3 linked regions of the Tamandua tetradactyla genome follow. The protein of the gene in region 3 purifies or fractionates together with the protein of the main gene of each other region. This does not show direct contact. Links are inferred from orthologs where the notes say so. Each region holds a gene or a part of one and is shown on either strand. Other genes may lie near its edges. The genes, in order: POLD1, SPRTN and POLD3.

The links.
Region 1: the proteins of POLD3 (region 3) and POLD1 purify together in Homo sapiens (co-immunoprecipitation; 8 studies listed by BioGRID and IntAct, with this or other methods). This does not show direct contact. The link is inferred for Tamandua tetradactyla from reciprocal best matches to the Homo sapiens genes POLD3 and POLD1.
Region 2: the proteins of POLD3 (region 3) and SPRTN purify together in Homo sapiens (affinity purification with mass spectrometry; 3 studies listed by BioGRID, with this or other methods). This does not show direct contact. The link is inferred for Tamandua tetradactyla from reciprocal best matches to the Homo sapiens genes POLD3 and SPRTN.

Annotation. Positions count from the first base shown.
Region 1 is NC_135342.1:10,822,574-10,832,523, reverse strand, and holds the start of POLD1 (DNA polymerase delta catalytic subunit), read left to right. Parts: upstream 1-5,214; 5' UTR 5,215-5,281; intron 5,282-9,950. Other genes in the region: NR1H2 (oxysterols receptor LXR-beta), read left to right, coding at 129-228, 2,802-3,010, 3,312-3,458. UniProt on the Homo sapiens protein: As the catalytic component of the trimeric (Pol-delta3 complex) and tetrameric DNA polymerase delta complexes (Pol-delta4 complex), plays a crucial role in high fidelity genome replication, including in lagging strand synthesis, and repair.
Region 2 is NC_135333.1:1,005,328-1,015,956, reverse strand, and holds the start of SPRTN (DNA-dependent metalloprotease SPRTN), read right to left. Parts: upstream 4,448-10,629; 5' UTR 4,326-4,447; exon of another isoform or gene 4,072-4,325; 5' UTR 3,910-4,071; coding exon 3,689-3,909; intron 2,649-3,688; coding exon 2,549-2,648; intron 537-2,548; coding exon 408-536; intron 1-407. Other genes in the region: EXOC8 (exocyst complex component 8), read left to right, coding at 4,574-6,760. UniProt on the Homo sapiens protein: DNA-dependent metalloendopeptidase that mediates the proteolytic cleavage of covalent DNA-protein cross-links (DPCs) during DNA synthesis, thereby playing a key role in maintaining genomic integrity.
Region 3 is NC_135334.1:71,090,712-71,100,827, forward strand, and holds the start of POLD3 (DNA polymerase delta subunit 3), read right to left. Parts: upstream 4,614-10,116; 5' UTR 4,487-4,613; coding exon 4,427-4,486; intron 4,397-4,426; exon of another isoform or gene 4,224-4,396; intron 3,122-4,223; coding exon 3,066-3,121; intron 1-3,065. UniProt on the Homo sapiens protein: Accessory component of both the DNA polymerase delta complex and the DNA polymerase zeta complex.

The sequences.
Region 1 (9,950 bases), on a different chromosome or scaffold from region 3:
TGTGGAGTGTGTCGGGTGCAGGCCTGAGCCAGTGGGGCTGAGTGAGTGGGGGGTGGAAGGGCCAGGAGAAGTGGGCACAGGGGTCCCTGCAGCCTGCCGCTGCCCACCCCGTTCCCCTGTGCCCTCAGATCATGCTTCTGGAGACAGCCCGACGCTACAACCATGAGACCGAATGCATCACCTTCCTAAAGGACTTCACCTACAGCAAAGATGACTTCCACCGTGCAGGTGGGCTGTGGCCCGTGGAGGCTGACACATCCGCTTCTGCACCTCCTGAGGTGGGGGGTGGGGCAGGGGAGAGGGAGCCAACCTGGCAGTGGGGCTTCTGGACTCAGCCTCCACTGAGTGCCAGCTGTGTGCACAACAGACCCAGTAGAGCATGAGTCACAGGGTCTCTGTTCCCCCGTGGGGCATCTTGGTGGGAATTAAGAACCCTATCCCCACTCTCCACTGGGTCTCCGTCTCAGCGGAGGGAGGGCAGGCTGGGTGTCGGTCTGCAGTGAAGTGCACGACCCACGCAGTCCCTGCCCTCCGACAGTATTCCCCTAGGGTCTGTGATGTGGGCAGGTGGGCTCCCTGCAGGAGACGCAGTTACACTGAGGCCTGAGGAAGGAGAGGCATTGCGGAGGAAAAGGGGGTGGGGATAGGGTTGCTCGCTAAGGCACAGCAGGCACAAAGGCTTTGCTCCTTCTCTGGACTTTTCTGGCGAGTCCACCTTCTCTGCTGCCTCTGCCTGAGTCCCCTCTCTGTTTTCTCAAACATCCACTCCTAGACCCAACTCCTTTTATTCCTTAATCCCCCACCCTCCATACCACCCAAGATGGTCCCAGAAACCCTTTGAGTATGAGCCTGGCCTGGGCAGGGAGTCCTTAGGGTCTCCAGTGTTTACAGTGGTGGGGATGGGGTGGAGAAGGGGATCATGTGCATAGGTCCTGAGGTGGAGAAGAGCCAGATGTGTTTGAGCAACTGCAGGGAGACTGAGGCATCCAGGGCACAGGGAGAGAGGGCTGGAGAGGAGGCCAGGGACCCCACTGCTCCTCACTGCTTCTCTGCCACCTCCTGGTCCTGGCCTCAGTCACCTTTCCCTGAAACACTGCAGGTCCCTCCAGGGTCTCTTGGCCTCCACGCCAGCCTGATCTAGTCTGTTCTCCACAGTGTAGTCAGAAGGACCCTGTTAACGCCCAAGTCAGCTCACATCTCTCCTCTGCTTGGAATCCCCATCCCCACCCCAGATGGCTTCTTTCTCACTCAAAAGCCAAAGTCTACCCTGTGGCCTGTTAGGCCAAGTGTGATTCACCCTGATCCCTCCCTGCCTTCACCCCCTGCCCTTTCCTCACTCACTCAGCCCCAGCCACATGGGAGTCCTTGTTCTTATTTGAGCCCACTAAGTATGCTTCAGCTGCAGGCCTTTTGCACTGGCTATTCCCTCTGCTGTGAACTGGGGTGACCAACTTGTCCTTGTTTGTTCAGGACCTTCCTGGCTTTGATACTGAAAAGTCCTGCGACCCAGGAATCACTCCTGTTGTAGGCAGATCAGATGGTTGGTCACCCTACCTGGAACTCTTACATAGCCTTGCAACTTGCCCCCTCCCCTCTTTAGGTCTGTGCTCAGGTGGCACCCTACAGGAAGGCCTCTCAAGCCACCTTGACTAGAATTTAAAGGTGACCTCCATCTGTCCCAGATGCACTTCCCGACTTATTTTATCCCATAGACATTATCACCATCTCATGTGCTGACAATACATATGTGTGTTTATTATCTGTCCCCTCAACCCGCAGATGTTAAGTCCCATGTAGGTAGGGGCTTTGTCCTGTAAGCAGCTCTATCCTAGGGCCTGGCACATTTTAGGTGCTCAATAAAGTTTTTTTTCTTTATATATTTTTATTGAGAAATATCCATACACATACAGTGTAAACATTACACAATCAGTGGCTCACAGTATCATCACATAGTCAATAAAGTTTGATAAGCAAATGAGTCAGTGATGGGAATGAGTTTGGCTTTATTCCTACAGCAGTAGAACCCAGTGGAGGAAGTGACATATTCTGACCTGGGTTCAAGAGAATTTCCCTCTGACTGCCAGGAACCGGAGGAAGACAGATGCAGGGAAGCCAGGGAGGAGCCGCTGCTGCCCTGGCAAGGCACAAGGGCAGTGGAGGGATGGGAGAAGGCAGTGGGTGTGTCACTCCTGTTCCGTGTCCTTTCAGGAGAGGTACTGTACTTCCACCACGCACAGACACTCTTGTGAGCAGTGGGGACACAGAGGTGTCTTAGGTCACTGGGGCTGCGTAACAAAGGATTCAAACTAGGGGCCTAAAGATAAGTTATTTCTCAGTCCTGGCGGCCAGAAGTCGGGAAGTTGTAGGCGGTCCCTCCTTACTTCCTCCCGGCCCCTAGTGGTTTGCTGGGTGCTTGGCAGTCCTCGGGCTCCAGTCTCTGCCTCTGTCATCAAATGGCCTCCTTCCCTCTGTATCCAAGTGTTCTCTTCTTATAAGGACACCTGTCATTGGAGTAGGGCCCACTCAGCTCTAGTTTGGCCTCAACTAATCGCATCTTCAGAGACCCTATCGTCAAAGTCACGTTTGCAGTACAGGGGTTTAGGACTTGAGCATGTCTTTTTTGGGGACACAATTCAACCCACAGAACAGGAGAACAAAAATTACCACGTGGTAATTACTGGAGTTTTCCATCCCCCGTGATGGTGGGCAGTGTCAGGGACCAGGGTGTGGCCCACTTTCTGGGCGTGGAGGCGTGTGTCGGCTTCTGTTCCCGCCTGTTCTCACCCTCCGCCCACCGACAGGCCTGCAGGTGGAGTTCATCAACCCCATCTTCGAGTTCTCGCGGGCCATGCGGCGGCTGGGCCTGGACGACGCCGAGTACGCGCTCCTCATTGCCATCAACATCTTCTCCGCCGACCGGCCCAACGTGCAGGAGCCGAGCCGGGTGGAAGCGCTGCAGCAGCCCTACGTGGAGGCGCTGCTCTCCTACACGCGCATCAAGAGGCCGCAGGTAGGCCTGCCAGGGCCCGCCCACTGCCTCACGCCCCGCCCACCACGCCCAGGGCCACGTCCTGAGTCGAAGGCGATGTAGGAGGAGTCCTGGTCTAAGTGGGGTCATGCTGGCTAGGGTTCCTGCTTCCTCGTCAGCACATCCTCTGTCCCAGAACTGCACTCTGAGCTCGGGCCGCTGTCCGCTCCCGGGTCCCTTAGTGCAGATGCCCTGCTCTGCCCACCACTCCCCATGCCGGGGAGGCACACAGGCCAGCAGGGCCGTTCCCGCGCTCATCTGCTGCTTGTGCTGCCCCCCGCAGGACCAGCTGCGCTTTCCCCGCATGCTCATGAAACTGGTGAGCCTGCGCACCCTGAGCTCCGTGCACTCGGAGCAGGTCTTTGCTCTGCGGCTCCAGGACAAGAAGCTACCGCCTCTGCTGTCTGAGATCTGGGACGTCCACGAGTGAGGGGCCCAGCTGCCATCTGATGGAGGGTGGCTGTCACCCTTCTTTCTCCTGGGGTGGATGCCTGGCGTTGGGGCCCCACTTTGGCTTGGAGCCCAGGTGCCGGCCTTGCCGGCCCTCAGCCTTTGGGATGAACTCCGGTTGGTGCCCAAGCAGGCTCTGGGTCCCCCCCTCCCTGCCCGCCAAGTCTTCCTGGAGGGAGTGGATGTCTCACAGGCCCTGACCTCGGACCTCTCCCAGCGGCCTCCCCACCCAGCTCACGCCTCTGGCCCATGCGCAGTGCACCTTGAACAGAGGGAGGGGAGGTCCATGGCTCTCCCCCACAGTCTGAGAGACCATAGTCCCCTCTCCTTCTGCCCCTTTTATTTAATAAAAACTTAAAAAAACAAAAAATGGAAAAATAAAATATGAATATACAGTTGCTCTGATTTGGAGTGGGTCAGAATGGAGAAGGAATGCTGCAGGGTCTTCCCCAGCCCTCTGACCAGCGCACAGAACCGGGTGGGCTACCTCTTCCTACTACACGTAGTCTTGCAACTTGTCCTCTGGTGGCACGTAGGGGATCAGAGGCGACTCTGGTGCCAGGCTGGTGGGGTCAGACACAGACGCTGCAGCTCAGGTCAATGTGCACTGGGTGCCGAGGGAGTCCAGGAGGGTGCCCCATGGCCTTGGGGTCACTGTCCTGTACCAGGTGAATATCACTCTTTAAGGACACAGGACATACTGGATGAGGAGGGACCTTTTATCCACCTACGCATTTGCCGAGGCTTCCTGGGGGCAGGGCATTCTGGGGACAAAGACGTCCTTCAAACAACAAATGTCTTTGAGTATTTACTATTGCCATGTAGTTCTAGGCGCTGGGAACAGCGACCCTCTGGTGGCAACCAGCCAGGCCTGGCAGTGGGGAGAGGGGCGAGGACAGTGCGAGGGAGCCTTGGGGCAGCCAATACTGTGTGGGAGCCTAGAGGAGTCAGGGAGGCGAGGTCTTAGCTGGGACCCATTGGACCAGAACTCGGAAGCTGAGGGTCCATGTGGAGACACAGGCATGGCAGGGACTCTGGCGAGTTCAGAGTAAGGCCAAGTAATTGCATTTGCACAATTCTTCCCCCGTGCCAGCCCCGAGGGAACAGCTACAAGAGTTGCGTGGCCATCCCGACTGAGGGTGGGGAGGGCGTGGCTTGGGGGACCGACTGGGTACCGAAGGGCCCGTTGGGGGGCGGGAGGCGGCGGTGGACGGGAGAGTAGTCACGCCATCGCCTCGTGCTGGGCAGTGTGCTGGGCGCCCCGCATCTGCGCTGTCTAGTTCACAGATGGAGAAACTGAGGCCGTGAGGAAGAGGAGGCCTGCCCGGAACGGAGCTCGAATCTGCCAGACTCTAAGAGCAAGCAGATAGCAAAAGCAGCTACTCCCGGCGCGGTCCTGCCGGGCACTGAAGGACAGGCAGCGGAAGCTGGTGTGCGGGGGCGGGCACAGAATTGCTGCGCGCGCAGGCCTGCCAGGCCGTCAGCGCCGAGGGGCGTGGCCTTTTAACCAGCGGCATGCTGGGGGCATGGCTTTGAGGCGGCCAAGGCGGGAGAGGGCGGAGTTTGGTCAGAATATGAACGCGAGCTGGGGCAAGGGGCGTGGCCTGCCCCCTGGTTGGAAGACCGGGGCGTGGTCTAGAGGCCAAGTTGTGAGGCGGGGCGTGGCCTCATCCATGATGGGCTGGATGGGGCGTGGCCCGGCTCTGCGCGCGGCGGTTCTGCGCTTGCGTGCGCGGAGTCAAGGGTCACGGTGGGGCGGTGTCGGCTGTGGCGGGAAACGCTGTTTGAAGCGGAGGAGAACAGGTAGAGGGGGATTGGGGGATTCGGCCTGACAGAGAAGGGGGCCCGGGGGGCCGGGCATGGAGCGTGGGATGGGGTGGCGAGGGGTCTCGTGGAACGTGGCTGCGGGAGGGAATCCCCTGGCCCGGCGGAGCGCCGTGAACCGGGACTGGGACCTGTGGAGTCCCAGACGCGTGTGCCGGGACGCTCGGGCTGGGGAAGTGGGGGCGCCTTGGCATGCGGGGGCGCATGCGCAGGGTCCACTGGGCTTCCAGGCCTTGGGATACGCGCGCTGGAGGGCTTTCCGGGAGACGGAATCGAGAGGCGTTCGGGGGCAGAGCGGTGCGCGAGGGGACGTGGGTGTTCACGTCGTTGTTTATTCACTGGATATTCATTGAACGTCTACTCTGCTGCAGCATGAACAGAGAAGGCGGATGGTAGACAAATGATAGCGATAGTAATAGTGAGTGCTTCCAGGCTGTGTGTGATAAGTTATCTGAAGGGAAATGAAACTGGGAAATGCAGTCACCTGGAGTGGTGAGGAATCACCTGTCTGCGGGAGTGACAATTGAAAGGAGCGGCCAGGAGAGGTCTTGAAGAAGAGGGTTCCAAGTAGAGGGAACAGGTACAAAGAGTCTGGGTCTGGAAGGGGCTTGGCCTTTTTGGGAACAGGGGAGAAGTACAGGTGACGTTGGAGACGCCACGGGGAGCCAGATCAGGTAGGGTCTTTTGTGCCTCTGTAAGGAGTTTGGCTTTTCGTCTCTGATCCATGGAGAGCCACCGGAGGGTTTTGAGCTTTGAAGTAACATGATCTGCTTTATCTTTTGAAAAACTCACTGGCTGCTCAGTGGAGAGTAGATTGTAGCAGGAATAGGAGTGGATGGAGGGAGACCAGTTAGGAAGTGAGAGGGGATAATAGGTGGCTTGGCCTGAAGCGGAAGTGGGGAGAATCTGTCAAGCTTGGGGTGACTTTGCAGGTGTGGCAGCAGGGCTGGTTGATGGGCTGGATTGAGGGATGAGGAGAAAAGACCAGGATGACTCTTGGGCTTGTGGCTCAAACTGCAGGCTAGATGGGGAATGCTGAGGGAGAAGCAGATTTGGATGCATCATCCTGAAATCAGAGTTTAGAGGGGAGCACAGGAGGAGGTAGGGTGACGTCAGTACCTCAGCTTCCCCACTCCCTACAGTAGGACCCCAGGAACCTGTTGTTACCTGTCTCTCCCCTTCCCTTCCTGCACCTCCATCTGGGACCCACACCTCTCCTGTCCTTCCGAGAGGCTCAGTCCTGGCTGATTCAGGGCCTTATCCACCCCCTTTCCTCTTTGAGTGAGACCCCACCTTGAGCTTTAGGAGGCCTTCACAGTCTGAAACAGCCCCAGCCCAGAGTACACAGGTGCAGTAATAGAAGTGCAAGCTATGGTGGGATTCTGGAGAGGCACCTGGTCAGCCTACAGGAGTCCAGCTCTACTGTGTTTCCAAGAACACAATGGGCGTCAATGGCCAAGAGAAAGGGGACAGGGCCCTGTGCTGGATGATGCTGGGGACCCAGAGAAAAGTCAGACCCTGCCCTGGTCTGGTGGGGTAGGCAGACATGGGCCCAGACAGTCCCAATCCAGTGATAAGGGCAGCGACAGAGAGGCTCAGGAGAAGGACAAGACCAAAGCATGAAAAAAAGAGTGTTGTGTTTTTTGGGGGGGAGGGGGTGAGGGGTAGTCAAGAGTGAATTTACTTAATTATTTAATGGTTTACTCCTTCACTCAGCAGATCCGGAGTACAACAACAGACAAGCAGACAAATCCGTCTTCAAAGTCTTTCTCCCCTGTTGAGCTGTGGGTCCAGAGGGTGGTTCTTGAGTTTCTTACCTTGTATCTCCTCAGCACAGGCCTGGTGTGCAGAGAGGTTGGCACCTGAGTGATGGTTTGCAGTGGGTTCTTGGAAACCTGGCTCCATCTCCTTGAGCTGGCTGTGTGACCTTGGGCAGACTGCTTTACCTCTCTGGACCCCAAATCCAACTATTACCTACCTCAGAGGGGTTTGTTTTTAACTCACAGCTTTATTGAGATACAATTCCCATTCCATACAGCTCACCAGTTACAGTATATAAGTCAGTGGTTTTAATATATTCACAGATATGTGGAACCATCATCACAGTCAATTTTAGAATATCTTCATCACCTCAGCGCAGAGAAAAGGTTAGAAACCATGCCTGACCCTGCTGAGGACTCGGTGTTGTCTCACCGTCCCCGGTACAATGAAGTGTCTGCTGCTGAAGGAGTGTGGACGGCAGAGGGCACGAGCCCTTACTGAGCTCCTCCCCCAATCAGGCAGAGCGTGCCTCTTTCTTGATGCTGACCTGCCTCACACATGTACCGGGGCTCGGTCCTGGGATAGGGATGAAGCTCAAAAGCCTGGATTTGGCTCTGGGTGATGCCTTCCCCTCACAACCCCCCATGGGGCTGATTGATCCAGGCTGCCCAGGGACAGCCAGTCGGTCCCCTCCGGACTCCCGCTAAGCTAGGTTCTGGAACCGCTGAGGAACCACCCAGCAGCCCCAGTTACTTCCCCCAGATTGGAACTGCCTAGGTCTGTCTGGCTACTGCCGTGCCTTTTTTCTTCCTGGGAAATAAGCACTGAAAGAGAGTCAGTTAAAAGGCTTCTTCCTCCACAAAAACTAATGCACAAATGTTCATGGCAGCATTATTCATAAGAGCCAAAAGGCAGAGACAACCCAAATATCTTTTGATGAACAAATGGGTAAACAATGTGGCATATCCATGCAGTGAATATTATTCAGCCACAAAAGGAACAAGGCACTGATGTGTGCTGCAACATGGAAGTTTGAAAACATGCTGCTGAAAGAGGCCAGATGTTTCACGTATTGTGTGTGTGATTCCATTCACATGAAATGTGCAGACTAGGCCCACCCATAGAGGCAGAAAGTAAATTAGTGGTTGGTGGGGGCTGGGAGTGGGACGAATGGGGGATGATGGCGAAAGAGCATGGGTTTCTTTTCAGGAAAATGAAAATGTTCTAAAATTGATTGTGGTGACAATTACACAACTCTGAATATACTAAGAACCATTGAAATATACACTTGAAATGGGTGCCTTGTATAATAGGCTATGTACTTCTCAGTAATACTGTTAAGCCTCCTTCCCTCCCCACTTCCTCAGAGCATTGGTGTTACTAGCTTCTAACTTACCCTTCCAGAAATATTTGACGCATGAAAAACAAATATGTTTATACGTATCCTTCCACCCACCTTGTAAAAATGCTATTTTTTTCACTTTTTTTTGTATAGTATAACATATATAAAGCAAAGAAATTAAAAAGCAATAGTTTTCAAAGCACTCCTCAACAAGCAGTCACAGGGCAGACCCCAGAGTTTGTCATGGGCCACCACATGATCCTCTCATATTTTTCCTTCTAGCTGCTCCAGCATATAGGAGGCTAGAGGGCTTAAATACTTTTTCATCATCACAATCGACTTTCTTTCCTTCTTTCTTTGTGAAAAATAACATATATACAAAAAAGCTATAAATTTCAAAGCACAGCACCACAATTAGTTGTACAATGTATTTCAGACTTTGACATGGGTTACAATTTCACAGCTCTAGGTTTCCATTCCTAGCTGCTCTAAAATACGGGAGACTAAAAGAGACGTCAATCCAATGATTCAGCATTCATATGAATTTGTTAAGTCTTATCCTCTATGTATAATTCCACCATCACCCTTGATCTTTCCATATCTCTCCTTAGGGTTGTTTGGACTATGGCAGTTCTAAATTTCTGACATTGGAAGGGTCTGTCACAAACATGGGGTAGGGAGATGGAATCGTCTGATGTTCTGGAGAGGCTGGGCTAGGTTTCAGGATTTATCTGGACCAGGGACCTATCTAGAGGTTGTAGGTTTCTGGAAAGTTACTCTAGTGTTCTAGAGTATCCTTGTGGAATCTTATATATTGCTCTAGGTGTTCTTTAGGATTGGCTGGAATGGTCCTGGTTGGGAGTTGGCAGGTTATGATAGTAGCAAGGTCTACCTGAAGCTTGCATAAGAGCAACTTCCAGAATAGCCTCTCAACTCTATTTGAAATCACTCTGCCATTGATACTTTATTAATTACAGTTCTTTTCTCCCTTTTGGTCAGGATGGAATAATTGATCCCATGGTGCCAGGTCTGGATTCATCCCTGGGAATCCTCTCCCATGTCTCCAGGGAGACTTTCACCCCTGGATGTCATGTTCTACGTAGCGGGAAGGGCAATGATTTTACTTGCGGAGTTGGGCTTACAGAGACTGAGGCCATATCTGAACAGCAAGAGAGGTCCTCCAGAAGTAACTCTTAGGCATGCTTATAGGTATCTAAGTTTCTCTCCTACCTGCATAAGCTTCACAAGAGTAAGCCTCATGATCGAGGGCATGGCCTATTGATTTGGATATCCCTAAAGTTTGACACAATATCAGGGGATTCCCTGATGGTAAGGTTTAATAGTTCCATATTCTTTCTCCCCCCACTCAGGGAACTTTGCCAATATTCTTTGATTATCTGGTTAATATACAGTAGGATGTATCCAGGCACCACATCCATCCACACAGGACCAAAGACCCCCTCTCATTCTGTGTTTCAGTTGTTTAAATGTGCTATGCAGATAGGTTGAAATAGATTATGCACTACGAAAGATTTCAGTTCCAGA
Region 2 (10,629 bases), on a different chromosome or scaffold from region 3:
TGTTCTTAATTCCATCGTCAATGTGGAATCAAAGAAGGCTTCTGACGAAAAGACTGACATATGAAATGGGAGAATATAGGATGGTTTGAAGGAGACCATAATAAGTAAACAAAGTTAAGAGACAATTGACATAGTTCAAGCTTATGTAATTAGACATAATTACAAGCCTAAATTAACTACATGTAAGATGTTAACCTGGATGATGTCAGAGGCCTCAGATAAAATTCTGGCTTTGCTGCCATTCGATTCTGGGGTCCTAGATAAGTCAATCAGCTTCTCCAAGCCTCTAGTTTGCAGGTGAAAATGGTCAAAGATGTTTGGTACTACCAATTTTCTATTTTTAATTAAATCCCACGAGTTATCTCAAGAAATAAATACAAAGTATCATTAAGTATGTCTTAATATACCGTTATATTGGCTCCTGTCAGGCGGTTGATGCGATGCATATGTTTACAAAACTCTGGACCATGCCCTTCCCGGTCCTTATCATTATTAGTGACAAATAAGTAAGCATGTATCATTTCATGCAAGAGGGTCTGAAACAGAAAACAAAAGAATTTGAAACGGCACTTTTAAAATAAAAATGTATATCTGCATTTTCTTATTCTACCTGGAGGTCTTAATTTTATCTGAATCACAGGCTCCTTTCAGAAACATAAAAGTCATGAACCATCTTGCCAGAAAAATTACATACACATACATTTACAAAACTTTGCAAATGATATCCAAAGCTCTGCAGAACACAGGTTAAGACTCTCTGTTCCAAAAAGGCCTTTTAAATTCTTAATCAAAATCCAGAATAAAAATCTGATGAACTCAACTACACAAAAACTTTAAAATTTCATATGGGGAAAAAAATCATAAGGAGAGTAAAAAAAACATATGTGTAACTGAGTCAGACTATTAATATCCTATTACATAAAGAGCTAAAGTCAAAAGGGAAATGACCAACAACCCAACTTTAAAATTGGCGAAGATCATGGATAGTTCACAGAAAAAGAAATATAAATGACACATAAATATCAAAAGATGTTCAAACTCATAAGAGAAATGCAAATTAATACTACTATAGGATACCATTTCTTGCTTATCAAGACTGATTAAAGCTACTAAAGTTTGACACTGTTAGTAATGCTATGGGAAAATAAACATTCCCATATATCACTGGTGGGAGTTCAAAATGCTACAACCCCTAAAAAGAACTTGGTAACATCTGACAAAATTTAAAATTCATGCATACTTTGGCCCAGTGATACCTAAATTGATATGAAAGATCATTTGTACAAGGTGTATTCATTTTGGCATTATTCATAATGACAAAAGACTGGATATATTCTAAGCGTTTAGAAAGCGGGGACTGGCTGACTGTACTATGGAATATCCACATCACAGAATTCTGTGTAGGTATAAAAAAGAAAGAAAATGATGGCTATGAAAAAGGCAAAGAATGTTAAGAGCGTACATAACACATTTTGTGTAAGTGTGCAGTGTGGCAGAGACAGGGAAGAAGTGAATATAAATATTTGCAAAACAGAACAAGGAAAAAATATGAAACTAGTACCAACAGTTCCCTATAGTGGGTGGGAAGGTCAAATTGGGAGGACGACAAGAGAACAAGATTTCTGTGTATAACTTACTAGAGTTCTGAACCACATAAAATGAATCACGTAAAATTTTAAAATAAAAAAACTCATTATGCATACCACTTCTTAATGAAAATCACAAAAGTCTTCAAAAGTGTAGCATTTTTATAATCCTCTTTTATTAAACAAAGAAGTTTCATCAGAAGAACTAGGCTGGCATTAATTTAATTAAATTTTTAGTCTTATAAAATTATGCTGAACAGAAAAATAGGAGAATCAAAGATTTTAAGTTGGTCATCATAAAAATATCTCTTTTTAAGTTATCAGTTGTCTCTCTCAAAACGAACTTGATTTTTCAAGTCACTCTATCAAGACCCATTCTACATTTCAAAAGTTTCTCAACTTTTCATAATAATGTTAAACAACTATTTCTATACTTTGTGCTGCTAGTTCAGTTAAGTGTCCTGGGATGACAACACTGTGGCAGTTGAATAAAATGTGCATGTCAAAGCAGGAAAACTTTGTTCCTAAGCTTTTTTTCCCTTGTGCTTCTAATTATGTAACTTAATCACTTAATTCTCTGAACTTTAATTTCCTCATTTATAAAAATGAGGATAACATACACTGAACATCAAAAGGATTGCTGTAAAGATCAAGTGGGATAATATATCTGAAAGCCTTTTATAGCTCTGAAGCACTATACAAAATATAAGGCAACTACTATTATTATTTAACCCACAGATAAAAATATAAAGGGAAGGGTGGGCCATGGTGGCTCAGCAGGCAGAGTTCTTGCCTGCCATGTCAGAGACCCAGGTTCGATTCCCAGTGACTGCCCATGCAAAAAAAAAAAAAAGAAAGAAAAAGTAAAGGGAGAAGTGATTTTTTAAAAATGCACAGTACTCTAAATCACTGTAAGCATATCTAAATTACTGAGCTAAAAATTGTATGGATGCAAAGATTACCTCTACAAGATCCTTTCGGGGTCTCAATTTTAAAAGGGGTTCACTGAGACGAATGGAACACATTCCACCTCTCCCTTCATAGCTGCATACCCCAGCACACCTGGAAAACAACCACAAAAATTTGTTACATCACTAAATGCACACCAAAAGGGAAACAGATGAAAGAGCAAATCCTTATACATTCCTGGGCAGCTCACACTAAGAAAATTCTACTGGCAGATGTCTTTCTTGAAAGTATACTCTCTTTGTTATGAGATATTTACACGTCACCCCAGCTAGGGAGATAAGTCAACAGAAATGGCTTCCCTACCCTAGCCAGGCTACAACTGGTCAAAGAAGATAATCCTGTTCATCTACTCCCAGTCTACTCCCTACAAGTTGTAATCAGCCGCTGGTGGTATTAGGCACACACCTACTCCAGTAGCACATCTCCAAAATTATAGTAGGTTATATGAAGGAGAGTTGTACTTTAAGCACAACTTGATATCATATCCTATCTGTAGGTTATGTTTGTTAACAATTCAAAAACATGCATGCTGATATGCAAACTGCATCATACACTTGTTAACCCCTTTCATGCGCAGGAATAGATGATTCTTTCAAATGTGGATTTCTCAATTCTTAAGTGCAGAAAGAAATCCTTTTATGGGCGCCACTGAAGATCCCCTGGGTCCAGATAAAGACAAATGTCAACTCCTTCTTCATTCTAACACATGCCATCACTACTTAGCGAAGGTATCTTACTGAGTAGAGAAGAGGATAACCCACAACACACACCCTTTGGAGGCTTCTGTGCTTCCTCAGCACTTTTAACTAGGGTCAGACTTTGGTTGTTCCCTCCTCCTAGATCCTAAAGCGCTACCATAAGACAAATCAGAAATATGTTCATTTATTATCAAGCGAAGTGAGTTTCAAAAAAAAAGTTCTTTTCTCTTATTTCCCTTATTGTGAGCCGTAACACAGCGTTGTTTGAGCGAGAGACTGGGCAAGAAAGGGACAAATACACTAAGGAGCTACTTGGTCCAGAACCAGACCCCCTCGATTAACGTGCCCCGAGACCATCAAGGCTGAGAAAGCAGAGTCCCAAGGCCCGAAGCAGCAGACCTCCGAGACCCGCCCACCCAGGGGCTCCTGACTCACAGGGTCATGCGCATGCTCCACTTCACCTCCACGGCCTCCAGTTGGCCCCAGAAGAAACGATCGTTGAACTGAACAAACAGGGCCTGCAAATCTGGGGTGGGGTCCACCAGCTCCCACGACGCGTCCACCAACGACAGGGGCTCCTGGGCCTTATCGCGCCCTGCGGTCTGCAAGTCCCATTCCTCCTGCAGCTGTAGCGCCAACACTAAGTCCTCGTCCATCGCTGCCCGGAACTCAAAGCACAAACCCGGGGGAAGCTGCTCCCAGACTCGGCGGCGAGTCACAAATGCTCGCAGGGCCCTAGTCGAACTCCTAGGAGATAGCGGCTCCCAGGCTGCTCTCGTGTTATCCCGCCACAATCGCGAGAATTCGGGGAAAACTGGCTTTAGAACGAGAACGAGAGTTAAGCTGGGACCAAACGTCGTAGCCAAGATTTGGGGGTTTTTTAAAAAAAACAACTAGCATGACACCTCCTACTTGGCGCAAAACTTGGATTTTCAGGGTTCGGCCCAGAGAAAGGTTTCAGGAAGCTGGTTTTGCCTTTCCAGTCCCCGGACTTGCCTCTAACTTCGAACATCTCACGTCACACAGACCTCCGCGCAGTACCTATATCCCTCCGCCTCCGCCCTCCACTCACTTCCGCAACAGCTGACTCGGCGCAGGCACCTCAACAGCTGGCTTTTCTGCGCAGGCGCACTGTCTGTGTGCCGCCACCACCACCCCCCCTTGCGCAGGCGCATTGTTTGGAGCTCAAACCCGGGCGCAGGCGCACACGTCTCGTTTCCGCCCGGCTTACGCAGCCCCGGGCCTCTGTCCGGATTGGGTGGGTCTTGATTGTGGTGTCGGCGGTGATAGTGACAGTGACTGCTTGAGACCCGAACGGAAATGGCCATGGCGATGTCGGACAGTGGGGCAAGCCGTTTGCGGCGGCAGCTGGAGTCAGGTGGCTTTGAGGCGAGTCTGTACGTGAAGCAACTCTCGCAGCAGTCGGACGGGGACCGGGACCTGCAGGAGCACCGGCAGCGCATCCAGGCGCTGGCAGAGGAGACGGCGCAGAACCTAAAGCGCAACGTATACCAGAACTACCGGCAATTCATCGAGACGGCCCGCGAGATCTCCTACTTGGAGAGCGAGATGTATCAACTTAGTCATCTGCTTACCGAGCAGAAGAGCAGCCTGGAGAGCATCCCGCTTACCCTGCTTCCCGCCGCCGCCGCCGCCGCGGTCGCTGGGGCCGCCTCGGCCTCCGGAGGGGAGGAGGGAGCAGGGGGGCCGGGCAGCCGAGACCACCTCCGAGGCCAGGCTGGCTTTTTTCCCACCCCGGGAGGCGCCTCCCGGGACGGTTCAAGTTTGGGTGAGGAAGGGAAGCAGCGCACGCTCACCACCCTGCTTGAGAAGGTGGAAGGCTGCCGGCACCTGCTGGAGACACCGGGCCAATACCTGGTGTACAACGGAGATCTGGTGGAATACGAGGCGGACCACATGGCCCAGCTGCAGCGAGTGCATGGCTTTCTCATGAACGACTGTTTGCTGGTGGCCACCTGGCTGCCGCAGCGGCGGGGAATGTATCGCTACAACGCTCTCTATCCCCTAGATGGCCTGGCTGTGGTCAATGTCAAGGATAACCCACCCATGAAGGACATGTTCAAGTTGCTCATGTTCCCCGAGAGCCGTATCTTTCAGGCGGAAAATGCTAAAATCAAGCGGGAGTGGCTGGAAGTGCTGGAGGAAACCAAGAGGGCCCTCAGTGAGAAAAGACGTAGGGAGCAAGAGGAGGCAGCGGCCCCTCGAGGGCCACCCCAAGTGACTTCCAAGGCCAGCAACCCATTTGAGGAGGATGAAGAAGAAGAACTAACTGTTCCGGAGGTAGAGGAAGAGAGGGTGGACCTCTCAGTGGAATGGATCCAGGAGTTACCTGAAGACCTGGATGTCTGTATTGCCCAGAGGGACTTCGAAGGGGCCGTTGATCTGCTGGATAAATTGAACCACTACCTGGAAGATAAGCCCAGTCCCCCGCCTGTAAAAGAACTAAGGGCCAAAGTGGATGAGCGCGTTCGTCAGCTCACGGAGGTATTAGTTTTTGAACTCTCTCCCGATCGTTCCCTGAGAGGTGGTCCCAAGGCTACTCGTAGGGCAGTTTCTCAACTAATCCGGCTTGGCCAGTGCACCAAGGCTTGTGAACTGTTTTTGAGAAACAGGGCAGCAGCTGTACATACTGCCATACGTCAGCTGCGCATCGAAGGTGCCACTTTACTCTATATTCATAAGCTATGCCATGTCTTCTTTAACAGCCTTCTTGAGACTGCAAGGGAGTTTGAGACAGATTTTGCAGGCACTGACAGTGGCTGCTGCTCCGCCTTTGTGGTCTGGGCACGGTCAGCCATGGGCATGTTTGTGGATGCTTTTAGCAAGCAAGTGTTTGATAGCAAAGAGAGCCTCTCAACAGCAGCTGAGTGTGTAAAGGTGGCTAAGGATCAGTGTCAGCTACTGGGTGATAAGGGACTAGACCTGACCTTCATCATCCATGCCCTTCTCGTGAAAGATATTCAAGGGGCCTTGCACAGTTACAAAGAAATCATAATCGAAGCCACTAAACATCGCAACTCTGAAGAGATGTGGAGGAGAATGAACTTGATGACTCCAGAGGCCCTGGGTAAACTCAAAGAAGAGATGAAAAGTTGTGGGGTAAGTAATTTTGAGCAGTACACTGGGGATGACTGTTGGGTGAACCTAAGTTACACCGTGGTTGCTTTCACCAAACAGACCATGGGTTTTCTGGAAGAGGCGCTGAAGCTGTACTTCCCAGAGCTGCACATGGTCCTTTTGGAGAGTCTGGTGGAAATTATTTTGGTTGCCGTCCAGCATGTGGATTATAGTCTTCGGTGTGAGCAGGATCCAGAGAAGAAGGCCTTTATCAGGCAGAATGCATCCTTCCTGTATGAAACTGTCCTCCCTGTAGTGGAGAAAAGGTTTGAAGAAGGTGTGGGGAAACCAGCCAAGCAACTCCAAGACCTGAGGAATGCATCCAGACTCATCCGTGTGAATCCCGAAAGTACAACATCAGTAGTCTGATGCTTGGATCTGTTTATACATATGTATATAACTTACTTGTGTATTATTTATATTTATATTACGTTACATTAGCATATCTTTATTGGCCTCAACATAGCTTAAAAATTGATGTTCTCTCAGAAATACCAAATCAAAAGAAAAAAAGAAGTTAAGCAAAAATAACAAAAACAATGGAATTATTAAAACATAAAATATTCTTTCCTTTTAAAATATGCTAATTCTCTATGGCCACACTATAGTATTTCACGTTATCCTTTGAATCAACATACACTTTCTCACAGTATATGTTATGTAACACAGAGAAATAATATCTGTAAATACATAGAGTTTAAAGTATATTGTGAAAAGTTTCCCACTTCACTAAAATGTTAGGTTTCTTGAAGTACTTACGGGGTACAATGCCATATAAAACACCCTGCCTCATGTACTTCCCCACCTTAGTATATGAATGAACAAGTTGGGGGAAAACAGGAGTTGGAAGAAGTGATGTTAGGGTAAATTATAGTCAAAAAAATTCTTTCCTGAAACTGGTTAGTGTATGGACTTAGATCCTCCAGTCTCACAGAATAAAAGAGGAAGCCTTCATGAGACAGTTCAGCTTACACTTCCAGTATAATTTGAATGATTATTTTCAGCTGCTAATTAGCAGCTTCACACTACTTGATTTGAGAGCATTAGTTACCTGAGAATCTTAAGAACGGTGAAAAGGTAATTTTTTTCAGTGTATTCCAGAATTGTGTGAATTTCCAACTCGAGTTTTCATTTTTGTTATGTTACAATAATAATAGTACTAATAAAATTCAAAGGACACACCGAGGAAACTGGCAGTAGTCAGTGCTTTTTAGCTGCCCCTATTTCACTGTGGGCTATGTAGTGCCACAGATTTCGTGCAAATAGGAGAAAATTTTCATTGAAACATTGGTTTAGATTTGGATAGAGGGAAATGGAAAAATATCATATGCAAATCACATAGTGTTCTCTTGGACTACTTTGAGCAGAGACTTGTTTTTGTTTTTGTAACAAAGTAAAAAACTGAGGTGAGACAATGTACTCAAAGCTAAGGGAGAAAGAGAACTTTTTATGACTCCTACTGAAATACTGCATGCCACCTTGTTATTTTCCTTGCTTTGTTTTTAAAAGTGAATATAATCTTTGTTATTTCAGATATTTTAGTAAAACTAAAATAACTGAAGAAATTTGGACTTCCCAGGGTTTCTAAACCATTGCTTCTGCTGCTTATTGATTATGTAACATTCCTCCTACTTTCAGAGTTATTGTTCTTCTGAGATCCATTTCTCCTCCTCACTTCTAGTTGTGATTCTTGTCTATAAGTGCCATTTTTGATGCCAAAAATGGACTTGAAAAGATCATTTCTTTTATCAAGTAAAAATGGTAAGACTGGAAATTATTTAAAACCTAAAATAGATTCTAAATAGTGGATAGGGTTATAAAATGCCTTCACTTAATTGCTCATATGCCAGATCAGCCTTTTATTTTATTTTGTTTTTAGCAATGCATATTTAAAAGTATGAAAATCATCAAAGTTACAGATTTTATTTGACCAATTTCTCCTACACCTTTAAGATTTTCTAGATAATAAGCATAACTGGAGATGTCAGTTGAACAAAGTTATAATTTCGTTTTTAAGATCACTGGAAATTTAAATTTGATAAAATTTTGTGATTAGGATGATTTTGTGCCATTTAAGGTCTGTACAATTATATTGTATGAAAAACATATGTGTAAAATTTTATGCTGGTCCAGAACATAATGCTTCTCAAATGGAAACTTATCCTAAGGCATGATGTTGTAAAAACTTAAATGTGTATACTTGGGTAATTAAGTATTTGCTTCATCGCGAAGCTGTCTGCTTTTTAAAACTGGAAGTTCAGAATTTTCTTCTGTTAAATTTGTTTCTTAATCAGAGTTGTAGCTGAAGGAAATTTTTTTTTTTTTGGTGAATCGTTTAGTGTGGGACATTGATTAAAAATCAACAATATTATAATGTACCTTTGTGCCAAGACAGAGCAATTAAGTTGCTTTTCTCAAAGTGAAGTCAGAGCTTGTCTCTCTGATTCTTTTGTTTCTTTCAACTCTAAAACAACTTCTAAAAATTGAATGCAGTTATAGTTTTTCCAAAAATATAGTACATATTAAGAGATTGCCATTTCTTGTTTGCTTCAATCATAACATTATCACTTAAGCTTGAAATCACAGACTTAATTGGTTTGGTTGCTATTGAAAGTAGACACCCTGTGCAATTAAGTCTCTTTGATTAAAGCCTCATTTCATTTAAGTGCTGAAACCTCACTTACGTTGTTTAAAATACTACCTGTAGTTTAATTGTCGGCCCTAGTATTTTGCACCTCAGTATGTTACCTAGGATTGGGAATTTAGGGCTTAATATGTAATATAAAATCAATATACATGTGCATTTTGCTTACTGATATGATGTGATATGAGGGACTTTTGAAATGTTTATCAAAATAAAGCCTGAAAATTTTCTTACACTGAATAAAATTGCTTGATATTACAATGTATAGCTAATTCTCTGAAATCTTTGATTACAACTTAATATTCTTATCCTCATGCTAATTTCATTACTGAAATATTCTTTGGAGAGCCAAGGTTAGTGGGTTTTTATTGGTATGGGGGAGTAGATAGAAAGCTGTTAGCTAATGTAATTACATGTTCCACATACTGTCAGAATTGTAAATAAGTCAGATCTGAATTTTTTTAAGAGTCCCTTGAATGGGATATTTCCATATAATCTAAATTTGAATTTACCCTGAAAAAATGGGTTTTATATCACCCACGCGTACCAAAATGAAGAAAAGATAATATAGTTAGGAACTAAATGACAATATTCTGTTTTCTTACAGTAATATATATACTGAGGGAATTATCAAATAAAATTGATTAAAAGGTATTTATTGAATTCTTATGCCTAACACTGTCTGTATTGTGGGAGGGATAGTACAAAATAAATTTAGGCATGCTTTCTTCTCTCCAGTTGCTTAAACTGTGGGAAAACTCAGCAAATGTTGAAGTGCAAGCTGTGTGTTTCAGTACACTTTCCATACAGTGGAAATACTGAGAAGGAAGAGACCAGAGTAGGGTTTGGGAACGTTCTCATGGAAACGCTGGCACTTGAGCTGGCCATTGAAGAATGGACACGATTTAGATTCGCAAAGAAAAGGGAAGAGCACGACATGAGCAAAAACACAGAAGTGGGAATATGTGCGACATACTTGAAGAGATCTGCTGTAACGGATTGCAGAAAGCAGGTTGGACAGTTCTGTGAAATATATTGTATAGAGGTTATAAGCCCATTATGAAGGGTTTTGAAAATCAACTATCAGAATTCAGACTTGACATAGTACTGTCACAGAGCCATTGCAGATTTTTTTTTAATAAGTGGAAAAAATGTAAAAGTAACATATGCTTTCTAAGAAAGCTTCACGCTCTGCAAAAGTGGAAAATTGAAGTTCTCATCCTCACCCAAACTCCCTAACTGCTGCTGAGTTTCTCAATTTTTTTTTCCAGAAACTGGATCATACTATACATTTTGTTCTGCATCTTAATTTTTTTTTTACTTGATTCAATATTTTTAAAACATATCTTTGAGACTTATTCCTATGGCTGTACCTGTTTTCATGTGGTTGAATAATGTTCAATCTCATCGAATGGATGCATCATAATTTTGCATTTTTCGATTCGCCACCCCCACCCCACCCCCCAAAAAATAATTAGCAAGTTGTAACAATGATTTTGAACCATGCTTTTCCCCCACTTTCTTTGAAATACCGTTTTAGTAATATATCACATTCATATTAGATGTGTATCTGGTACATTTTTAGACTATTTTC
Region 3 (10,116 bases):
TTTAGACTTGTTTTAACTGGGACATTTTCTTGGCCTTAGAACTGTAAACCAGCAACTCATTAAATTTCCCCTTTTAAAAGCCATTCCGTTTCTGGTATATTGCATTCTAGTAGCTAGCAAACTAGAACAGACCTATACAAAGAAAACTACAAGAAACTATTCAAAGAAATCACAGAAGACCTAAATAAATGGAAGGGCATACAGTGTTCATGAACTGGAAGACTAAATATAGTTAAGATGTCAATTCTACCTAAATCGATTTACAGTCAATGCAAAACCAATTAAAATTCAAAATACTTACTTTTTAGAACTAGAAAAACCAATAACCAAACTTATCTGGAAGAGCATGGTGCCCCGAATAGCTAGAAGTATCCTGAGAAAGAAAAATGAAGTCGGAGGTCTCGCGCTACCTGACTTTAAAGCATATTATGAAGCTACAGTGGTCAAAACAGCATGGTACTGGCATAAAGATAGATATACTAACCAATGGAATAGAATAGAGTGTTCAGATATGGACCCTCTCATCTATGGACAATTGATCTTTGCTGTACTCATACGGTCTGCCATGTATGCCAGTATAATGAAATAGCCCTTGTTTTAAAAGCCAGCTGAAGACTCCACTAATGAGATTTGATAAATAAACATCTACCAGGATTATAGTTTATTTGCTCTCCGTCTTTGCACCCTATTGCCAACGTATTACTTTCCAAGGAAGATTATCTACTACAAAACTCCATTGTCAGAAGACAGGTATTTGTTACTAATTTAAGCATTGTTTTTAAATGTTTTTTGGTGCTTTTGAACCTTTATCAAAAAAAAATCTATAAATACATGAATGAAAAATTCAAATTTAGAAGTATATGGAATAAAAATTATCTCCCTTTTCACATTAACTTCCTAAAGGTTCCCAGCATTTAATAATACATATTCTTTCATGCCTTTTTCTGTGCACTTAAACATAAATGTGAATATGTAAAGGGTTTGTTAGTTTTGTACATAAACGGGATTATACTAAAACAGTGCCTATTTTTAAGGATAGGTTAAATTTGCAGATGATTGTTTCAAATATATTGAATAAAATAACTTTTTATTTAAAAAAAAATCACAATGAGATACCACTTCATACCCATTAGGATGGCTAAATTCAAAAAGACAGATTAAAAAAATTGGTAAGGATATGGACAAACAAACCCTCATACATTGCTGGTGGAAATGTAAAATAGTGCAGCCACTTTGGAAAACAGTGTGGCAGTTCCTCAAGAGCGATATACCCAGAACTGAAAACATACGTCCACACAAAAACTTATAAACGAATGTTCACAGCATCATTATTATTCACAATAGCCAAAAAGCAGAAACACCCAAATATCCATCAGTTGATGAAAATAAAATGTGGTATACACATAAAATGGAATATTAGTCAGCCATAAAAAGGAATGAAATACTTATACATGCTACAACATGGATGAACCTTGCAAACTATAGGCTAAGTGAAAGAAGGCTGACACACACACACACACAAAGCACATATTATATGATTCCTCTTATATGAAATGCCCAGAATAAGCAAACCTATAGAGACAGAAAGTAGATATGGTTACCTAAGACAGTGGGGAAGGGGGACCACAGTGCTGAGGAAAACTATGGAGTGACTTCTAACAGGCACAGGTTCCTTTTGAGGATGATGAAAGTGTTCTAAAATTGATGGTGGTATTGGTTGTACAACTCTGAATATATTACAAAACTTTGATTTGTATACTTTAAATGGGTGAATTATATCCCAATTAAAAAAAAGAATTGAAAAAATGTGAGAGACAATCACAAGGTATTATGACAAAGTATTAGGGATGGGTGAGGATACTTAAAAGACAGCATTTCTCTAAGGTCTCTTAAAGAGTTACATGTGAAATCTGAACTGAGACCTGAAGAATGAGGACAGCTGGAAGAAGAACATTCCAGGCAGAGAGAACAGTGCAAAGGTCCTAAGGCTTGTTCCTTCCTGAAGAACAGAAAAGCAAATATGGGAAGAGAATAATAATTAAGGTAGGGAGTAGTATGGGATGATAGAAACTGGACAGTCTGTTAATGCTATAAAAATTATAGGAAATCAGGGTACTTATAGTAAAGTTGCAGGCTACTTTATTTCACTTTCCCAAAGTTACCTTTATCTCTTGGGTTTGAGCTAGAAATGGTCTTATCTCATATAGTTAAAACCAGTCCAAATTCATTCCTGGGCTAAGAGCTTCAGGTCTCAAAGGAGTAAACATCACAGCCAAAGTCAGACTCTTAGACCTGTCAAACAGCAACCCTTAAAGCCAAATCAAGCCATTTAGAGATCAGGGATTTTCTAAAACTTTTATGAGATACTCCTATGACTCAAAGTTTCTATCCTGAAGGAATGGTCAAAAATGAGGAATAAAACAAACCCTTGGGAATGAAACAAACTGAATGGTCATCTAACCCAACACAAGTGTCCTTGAGCTGTTCTCTAATTCCTCCCTTTGGGACAGTGATAATACTTGCACATTTTCAGTCAAAAAATTTTTAAGTCAATTCAAAAGCTGGCCTTTCATCACAAGTTTCAGCAAGAAAAAGGGACATGGCAAAAACCCAGGAGGAAAATGGTCTGAGCCATCCTATATACTGTCTCTCAGTTTCACTTAAATATTTCTTCTCTGTTACACAGCTTGTATCAAACACCTGTTGACCTCATTGTACAAGTGTTCCAGTATCTGGAAAGGAGACTAAGGACTTTCTGAAGATGTAATATAACAGACATACAAGTCTGAGATATAAATGTAATTGGCTAATTTAATAAATTTGAAGTACAGTGATGTCACCCAGAGGGTAAGGCTGCAAATAAATCCAGTAAATTTATCATCACATATTTGTACACCAGTCCACCTACCTCCTAAAATAGACAAGGCACTAAAGGTAGTACAAGGTAGTAAATAATACTCTTTACCATTGCCCAAGAAAAATTTTTTTTGTCCCAACCTAGCTATCTGTAAAGTTAAAAACAAAAAACTCAAGTGTGGTTAAAATTAGTAGTAAACTGGACTTACTGTTTGGCCTGGTTAACATGAACCCCTAGTGTATAGCTCAGCCATTTGTATGTCACCTGCAAGAAGAAGCAATTTTTAAAATATTAATGACTCAACAATGCAGATTAGTTCCAAAAGGCTGCTCCTAAAGATTCTATTATTATTATTATTATTATTATGTCTTATAAACTACAATAGATGTCACCCCAGTTTTGCCAAAAAGCACCCATCTGGACAAGCAGGATTAACATTTTTCTTACAAACACTAAAAAGTTCATGTCAAAGGCTGAATATATATGGAAAGAAAAAGCTCTCATTGACTCACATTTCTTGTTTTATCAAGGCCCTTTGTTCACATTCTGCCCCTGTCTGGGTCCACTACCCAAAACTATCCCAAAACTCACCCAGAAACAGTATTGTTTTGAAGTGCACAACTCAGAAACTTCCAAGGCAAGTTGCAGCCTTACAATCATTAAAGGGCACAGATGGTGCCAGGGTCAGGGAATGAATGAAAAAAGCAATGAATACTGTATCAAAGGTTAGCTGGGGAACTCTGGCATTAAGTCTTGGCGTTCCTTCTATTCTTTCTTGACCCAGTATGCCTGCCAGTCTCCTAAAGCCTAACAATTCTAAATGCTGAGCTTCCAATAATAGGTTAAGGCAAAGACAATGTGATGTAAAAGAAAGCATTAGTTGAAGTAAGAGACCGACCTAGGCTGTGTCTATCTAACCACAACTAACCAAGTTATTAGGCCCCTTTGTCTTAATTTCCTCTTCTAGGGATACTACCAGCAACCTCTGGGTGGGTCGCTGTAAAAATTAAATGCAAATAACGTGTATCCAAAGTGCCCTAGCTCACAGTAGACTCTCAAAAGCAACAGCTGGCATCAGGGTGCACTCACACCCATCGTCTCACTTGACTTCACACAATCCTGTGAGGCAAACCAAGCCTATATCAATACCTAGATTTTCAGGAAGAGAACCGTCAGGACGCTAAATAACTTGTCACTTAAACCAGTTAAGATGCAATTTTCTCAACTGTAAACCAGGGATTTTTTAAAGCCAAACAGCTTATGTGACTGGCGTTGGAACGACTTAAAAACATTCTGCGCCAAAACCCCTCCCACCACGCCGGACCTCCCTGGCTCCTGCCCTGTGCAGAGTCCACAGCACGCCTACCCAAGGGACACGGAAGCACGCGCGAACTAGAAGACCTCTCCGGAGGGCCCTCACCCGCCTAGGAGCAGAAGATGTGGGGAACTATCTTCCCTCGGCCAATTCCCACGACGCCACAAGCGGGGGTGGGGTCAAGGCCCCTGGCAGCCCTCGCCATACCCACAACCCCAGTCGCACGCCCACATTCCCCCGTCCTAGCTCCTCACGATCTTGTTCTGGTCCATAACGAACTCGTCTATATTTTCCAAATAAAGCTGGTCCGCCATGGTGCCGCAGCGCTGAAATCCGCGGCCTTTGAGCCGCCCTCGCCGCCACAGCCACAGCTCCCGCCGGCGGGAAATGTCTTTCCTCCCCCCTCCCTCCCAGGTCCGAGGTCGTTTCCCATGGCAACGGAGGCAACGCGCTACGGCGGCCGTCCGGGGGTCAAACTAGTCATGGCGCAGGCTCAAGTACAGTGCATAAAGCTAGTAGGGGAGGGCGGAAATGAGAAGCTGTAGGAAGGGCGTGCTGGGAAAGAGTTTGTCTCGAACCTTAGGTTCGAATTTCACCTCTGCTACTTAATGATTGAAGGTGGACAAAATACTTGAGCTACAGTCTCATCACCTGTAAATTGGTAAATAATCTTTGTTCTCCATACATTTATTTAATAAATATTTATTAAGTATCTTCCAGACACTTTTAGGCACTGGGGACACAGCATTGAGCAATAAAGACAGAAATAAGTAATTTGAGTACAAAGTGATGCCGGCTGGGAGAAAGTGCTGCCTGTTATGATCCGCCTGGATTGAGAAATTAGGTTAGGTTTTTCAGGGGAAATTTGTGTTTCAGAGAATGACCGGAACATTTGCTGGGAAGAGATAAGAGTTCGTGTAGGAGAAGAGAGTGCATTATACTGGAATGGAGGAAGAAGGGCCAATGAGGAGATATGAGCCATATCTTGCTGGGTCTCCAAGGCTGTGTGAAGGGGCCAATGAACCATATTCTGAGGGAAATTTGGAGAAGACTTCATGCAGAATTTCAACTGAAATTTTTCCTAATATCAGCCAGTAAAACCTTAAGAGTTGACGTTAGCATAAAGCAGTGAAGTTCAGTTCCACAACACAATGGATAGATGAGTTTAGACTGCCCAGATTGAAATCCTGGCTTTGCTGTTTGTTGTGTGACTTTAGGTAAATTGTTCAATCGCTATGGGTTTGTTTCCTCATCTATAAATTGGAGTTAATAGCAGTACCTACTTCGAAAGTTCATTGCAGCATACATTCATTAAAGACATTTAGCAAAAAATGTCTTAAGGATCAGGGACTGGGTCTGCAGTGGATACAGCTGTGATCAATAATACATGGAGGCTGTTCACATGTAGTTTATATTCTTGTAGAGATATTTAAATGAGCAAGGGGGTGGCTTAAACTAGGGTAGCAGTAGTAGGAATTGAAATAATTGGGTGACTTTTGTTTTAGGGGTAAACTCAGCAAGACCTGCTGATAAATTGGTGAGTGAGATTTCAAAAGAAGAGGAATCAGGAAAATGCTTAGATTTTTAACTTAACTCTTTAGGTAAATGGTGATGCCGTTTCCTTGACTGAGATTGGGAGAAAGAGTAGGTGAGAAAATCAAAGAATTCCATTTGGCCAGAGTTACAGGTGAGATACATAAACCCTGCTTACCATGCCTGTATACAATAAAATCAATAAAAGTTGGCTATATTATTATATACCAGGTACTCTTTACCAGGTGATTTGAGAGTGATATTTCATTTAATCTTCATAGTAACCTTGTAAATAGATTATACTTTCTGTATTTTATGGAGTAGATTGCTGAGACTCAGAGAGGAGGAGTGAATTTTTCAAGGTCACAGGCTAGCAAGCATGCTGGAATTGGAACTCAAGTCTCTCATCACTCAGAGGAGAAATAAGGCAAGATAGTTTATGCAAAATCAATTTTCTGTTGTTAATGGGAGGTATGAATAGGTTCCAAGACAAGGTTTACTTAAATAACCAAGCTGGGTTTTAGACCTGACTTCATTCTAATGTAATGGTAACAACCACCACCACACCAGCATGTGATAGGTGTTCAATAAATGTTTACTGACTTAAGTTCAATTACACTAAAAAACAGTGAGAATTAGTGGGGGGAGAACACTGGATTAGGAAACAAGGAGACTTAAGATAGTGTTTTATTTGTGTGGACAATTTAATGGAACACCATAAGTACATGGAACCTTGAGTAGGGCGTGAGATTTTTTAGGTTTGTGCAGAGTGATGCCCCAATAAATCCCAGAGTAATTTGAACAGTGAATAAAAAAAAGCATTTGTAAAGTCCCCCTGGGGGAATGGCAAGAAAAGGGGAAAATTCAACTTCCCCATGTGGAGAATTCCTGATATTCTCACAACCAGTGGGGACAACCAAAGCAATTGGCTGAGCCCTCAATCTTAGGGTTTGTTCACATGAAACTTATCCCCACAAAAGATAGGCTAAGCTTACTTAAAATTAGGCCTAAAAGTTACCCCCAGAGAACCTCTTTTGTTGCTCAGATGTAGCCTCTCTCTTTTTCTCAGCCAACACAACAATCAAACTCACTGCCCTCCCCCTCTCTACATGGGACATGAATCCCAAGGATATGGACCTTCCTGGCAATGTGAGACAGAAATCCTAGAATGAACTGGGACTCAGTATCAAGAAACTGAGAAAAATCTTCTCAACCAAAAGGGGGAAGAGAGAAATGAGACAAAATAAAGTGTCAATGGCTGAGATATTTCAAACAGAGTCAAGAGGTTAGCCTGGAAGTTATTCTTACCCATTATATAGATATCATTTTTCTAGTTGAAGTATAATGGAGAGGCTGGAGGGAACTGCCTGAAAATGTAGAGCTGTGTTTCAGTAGCCATGTTCCTTGAAGATGATTGTATAACGATACAGCTTTCACAATGTGACTGTGTGATTGTGAAAACCTTGTGTCTGATGCTCCTTTTATCTACCTTATGGACAGATGAGTAAAACGTATGGGTTAAAAAATAAATAATGGGGGAACAAATGTTAAAATAAAATTAGTAGTTTGAAATGCTGGTGATCAATGAAAGGGAGTGGTAAGGGGTTTAGAAGAAAAATAGGGTAAACAAAGGCTAAAATATATTGGGTAGATAAAAATACTAGCAGTCAATGAGAGGGAGGGGTAATCCCTCTGATCATTTTCTTTTTTTGTTTCTTTTTCTGAATTGATGCAAGTGTTCTAAGAAATGATCAGGATGATGAATATACAACTCTGTGATGATATTGTGAGTTATTGATTATATACCAAGACTGGAATGATCATATGGTAAGAATGTTCGTGTTTGTATGTTGTTATGGTTACAAATATATAAAAAATTGAAAAAATGATAGTGTTTTTTATTACTAATCTTTCACTGAGTTTATGAAATATGCAGGTACCATGCTAAGCCTTTTACTTAGATATCTTCATTTAATCTTCAAAGCAATTCTGTAAAGTACGTAATATTATGTAGGGGGTTGAATTATGTCCCCCACAAAAGGCATGTTCAGGTCCTAACCCCTAGTCCTGTGGGTGGAAACCCATTTGTAAGTAGGACCTTAGAAGATATTATTAGTTAAGGTGTGTGCAAACCAAATGACAGTGGACCTTAATCCAATATGGCTGAAGTCCTTATACGCAAAGGAAATTGGACTTAGAAGAGAAGACCACAGCTGGAAACTGGAAGTCAGTGGAAGCCAGAAGAGAAAGGAGAGGACATTCCACATGATGGGGATTGCCAGCCAGAGTACCACTGAACTTAGGAGGAAGCAAGCTTTCCAGCCTCTGAAACTGTGAGACAATAAATTCCCTTTGTTTATGCTACCTCATTATGTGAATTTTGTCATAGCAGCCTGGAAACTAAGACATATTATTATCCCTGTTTGGTAGATTAAGATACTGGAGCTCAGAGAGGTTAAGTAACTTGCCTCAAAGCATGTAGGTAGTAAGTGACAGAGATGTGTTTCCAGCCCAGGTGGTTGGACACCAAAGGCTATGCTCTAAACTCTGTGATTGTTTTTCGGTGATCAGATTTGGATAATTTTTATTCTCTTTATATTAGTTTTTTTCTTATATGTGTGTCAGTTTTTACAAGAGAATTTTGATTGCTATAATCAGAAAAATAAATGTTTTCATCCTGAAGAAAAAAGTCAGGCGTTTACCAAAGTAAAATTAAGCCGTCTTTTTATTCCAGGCATCTGTGAAGTTTTCTCTATATGAAATGAAAAAGGCAAACTTCCAAAAAAGGACTTACCTATAACTATAAATGCTTTTTCCTTAAAATAAAAATAAAAATATATCTCCCTTCCTGTTCATTAAGGATGAGGCTTGACATCAGTACCCAATGTTGACAAAAGCAGGTCTCCAGAAACCAGAACCATCAAGCAACCAGAGAATTAATTAACCACAGGACACAGTCAACACTTTTGGGGGCCAGCAGGTGTCAGGTGATACCAGCAGTGAGAACTGTATGGGATTAAGACTCTCCAGCCTCCAGGTCTCAAAAAAGAGCCTAAGGTTGATGTTACAAATAGAAGGTTGACCTTACTCTTTCTTTTTTTCCAACCCCACTTCATCCCAGAAATTACTGGTACCAGAGAGTCTAATGATTCTGACAGGTACAGTGTGGGAAATCTGGATGGGGCTCAATATTTGGTTGCGAGTGAGGAGGGGTTAACCTAAATGCAGGCAGGATTCCCAGTCTCAGTGTAGGGAAGGGGGCCTGTAAGGACAACCCAGGAACCCCACCAGCTAGCTGGACTTCAGATTGCCACTGGTCTCTGGGGGTTGGCATTCCAGGCAGAGTAATAGGTTAGAACCAAGGAAAACCAGATTAAAATTATGATTCAGGGGTCTCAAAACTATGTAAGAACTGTTCCACAGTTCCAAGGACCCAGGACTTAATGGCATCAAGGAATTTAGACATTTGATCCATCCTTCCTTCCTTTCTCCCTTTCTCTCTCCTTCCCTCCCTTCCTCCCACCCTCCCTTCAAGAAGCATTACCAAAGGGCTTCTGTATATCGGGCCCTATGTAACTAAGGGGAACACAAGATGGTTTTCATCTCTGGGAGTTTACAGTTCATGGAGGGTAAATAGCAAAATGGTGTGAGGGAAGCACAGGGTGCCATACGAACCTGAAGGGGGCACCTACTCCACCTGAGGATGGAAATATGAGGAAAACTCTGGACTTGAGTTATCCAGGGCTAGACGTTATGTAATCTCACCTTTCACCTTACACAAAATATGTAAGAAATAAAAACAGAGTGTTGCCATTGTTATGCTTTAAGCAACACAGCAAGCCTGTATTTTCCTTTTTTTTTTTTTTATACAAGCTGCTTTATGAGAACATCTGTATCTTGTGTTGACAGTCTTGTGGACTGTACAGCCTCCAAGGCCAGAATATATCAACTGTCCTGATATCTGGAGAGGCAGGAGTCCAAGGAAGGTGAGATAAAACTCTAGGTGCTTGTTATAAAACACTTTATCAATTTTATAAAAATCAATGTAAAATCCCTCAAAGTGAGTGAGCCAAGAGGACATTGAACTAGGGTGACCTATTCCAAACATACCACCATCCCACTCTGCCCCGAGAATACACACACACCCCATTTCAGCCCGTTGATCCCTCAGCTCAATCACCAGAGGTTCACACCCCTGCCTTTGCTGTCTTGGACATTCAGAAAAAGAGCAAGAGGACAATGCACAAATTCACACACACCAGTTTTGCAGTTGCTTTGTGTATTGTTTTCCTTTCTCCCTTCCCTTGGAGGCTGAAAGGGTGCTTTGGAGTGGTGATGGTAAAGTGAAAATAATTGGAAACTGGTTATGAGAATTTTTCTCTTAAGCACCTTACTCCTGGATCTTAAAAAG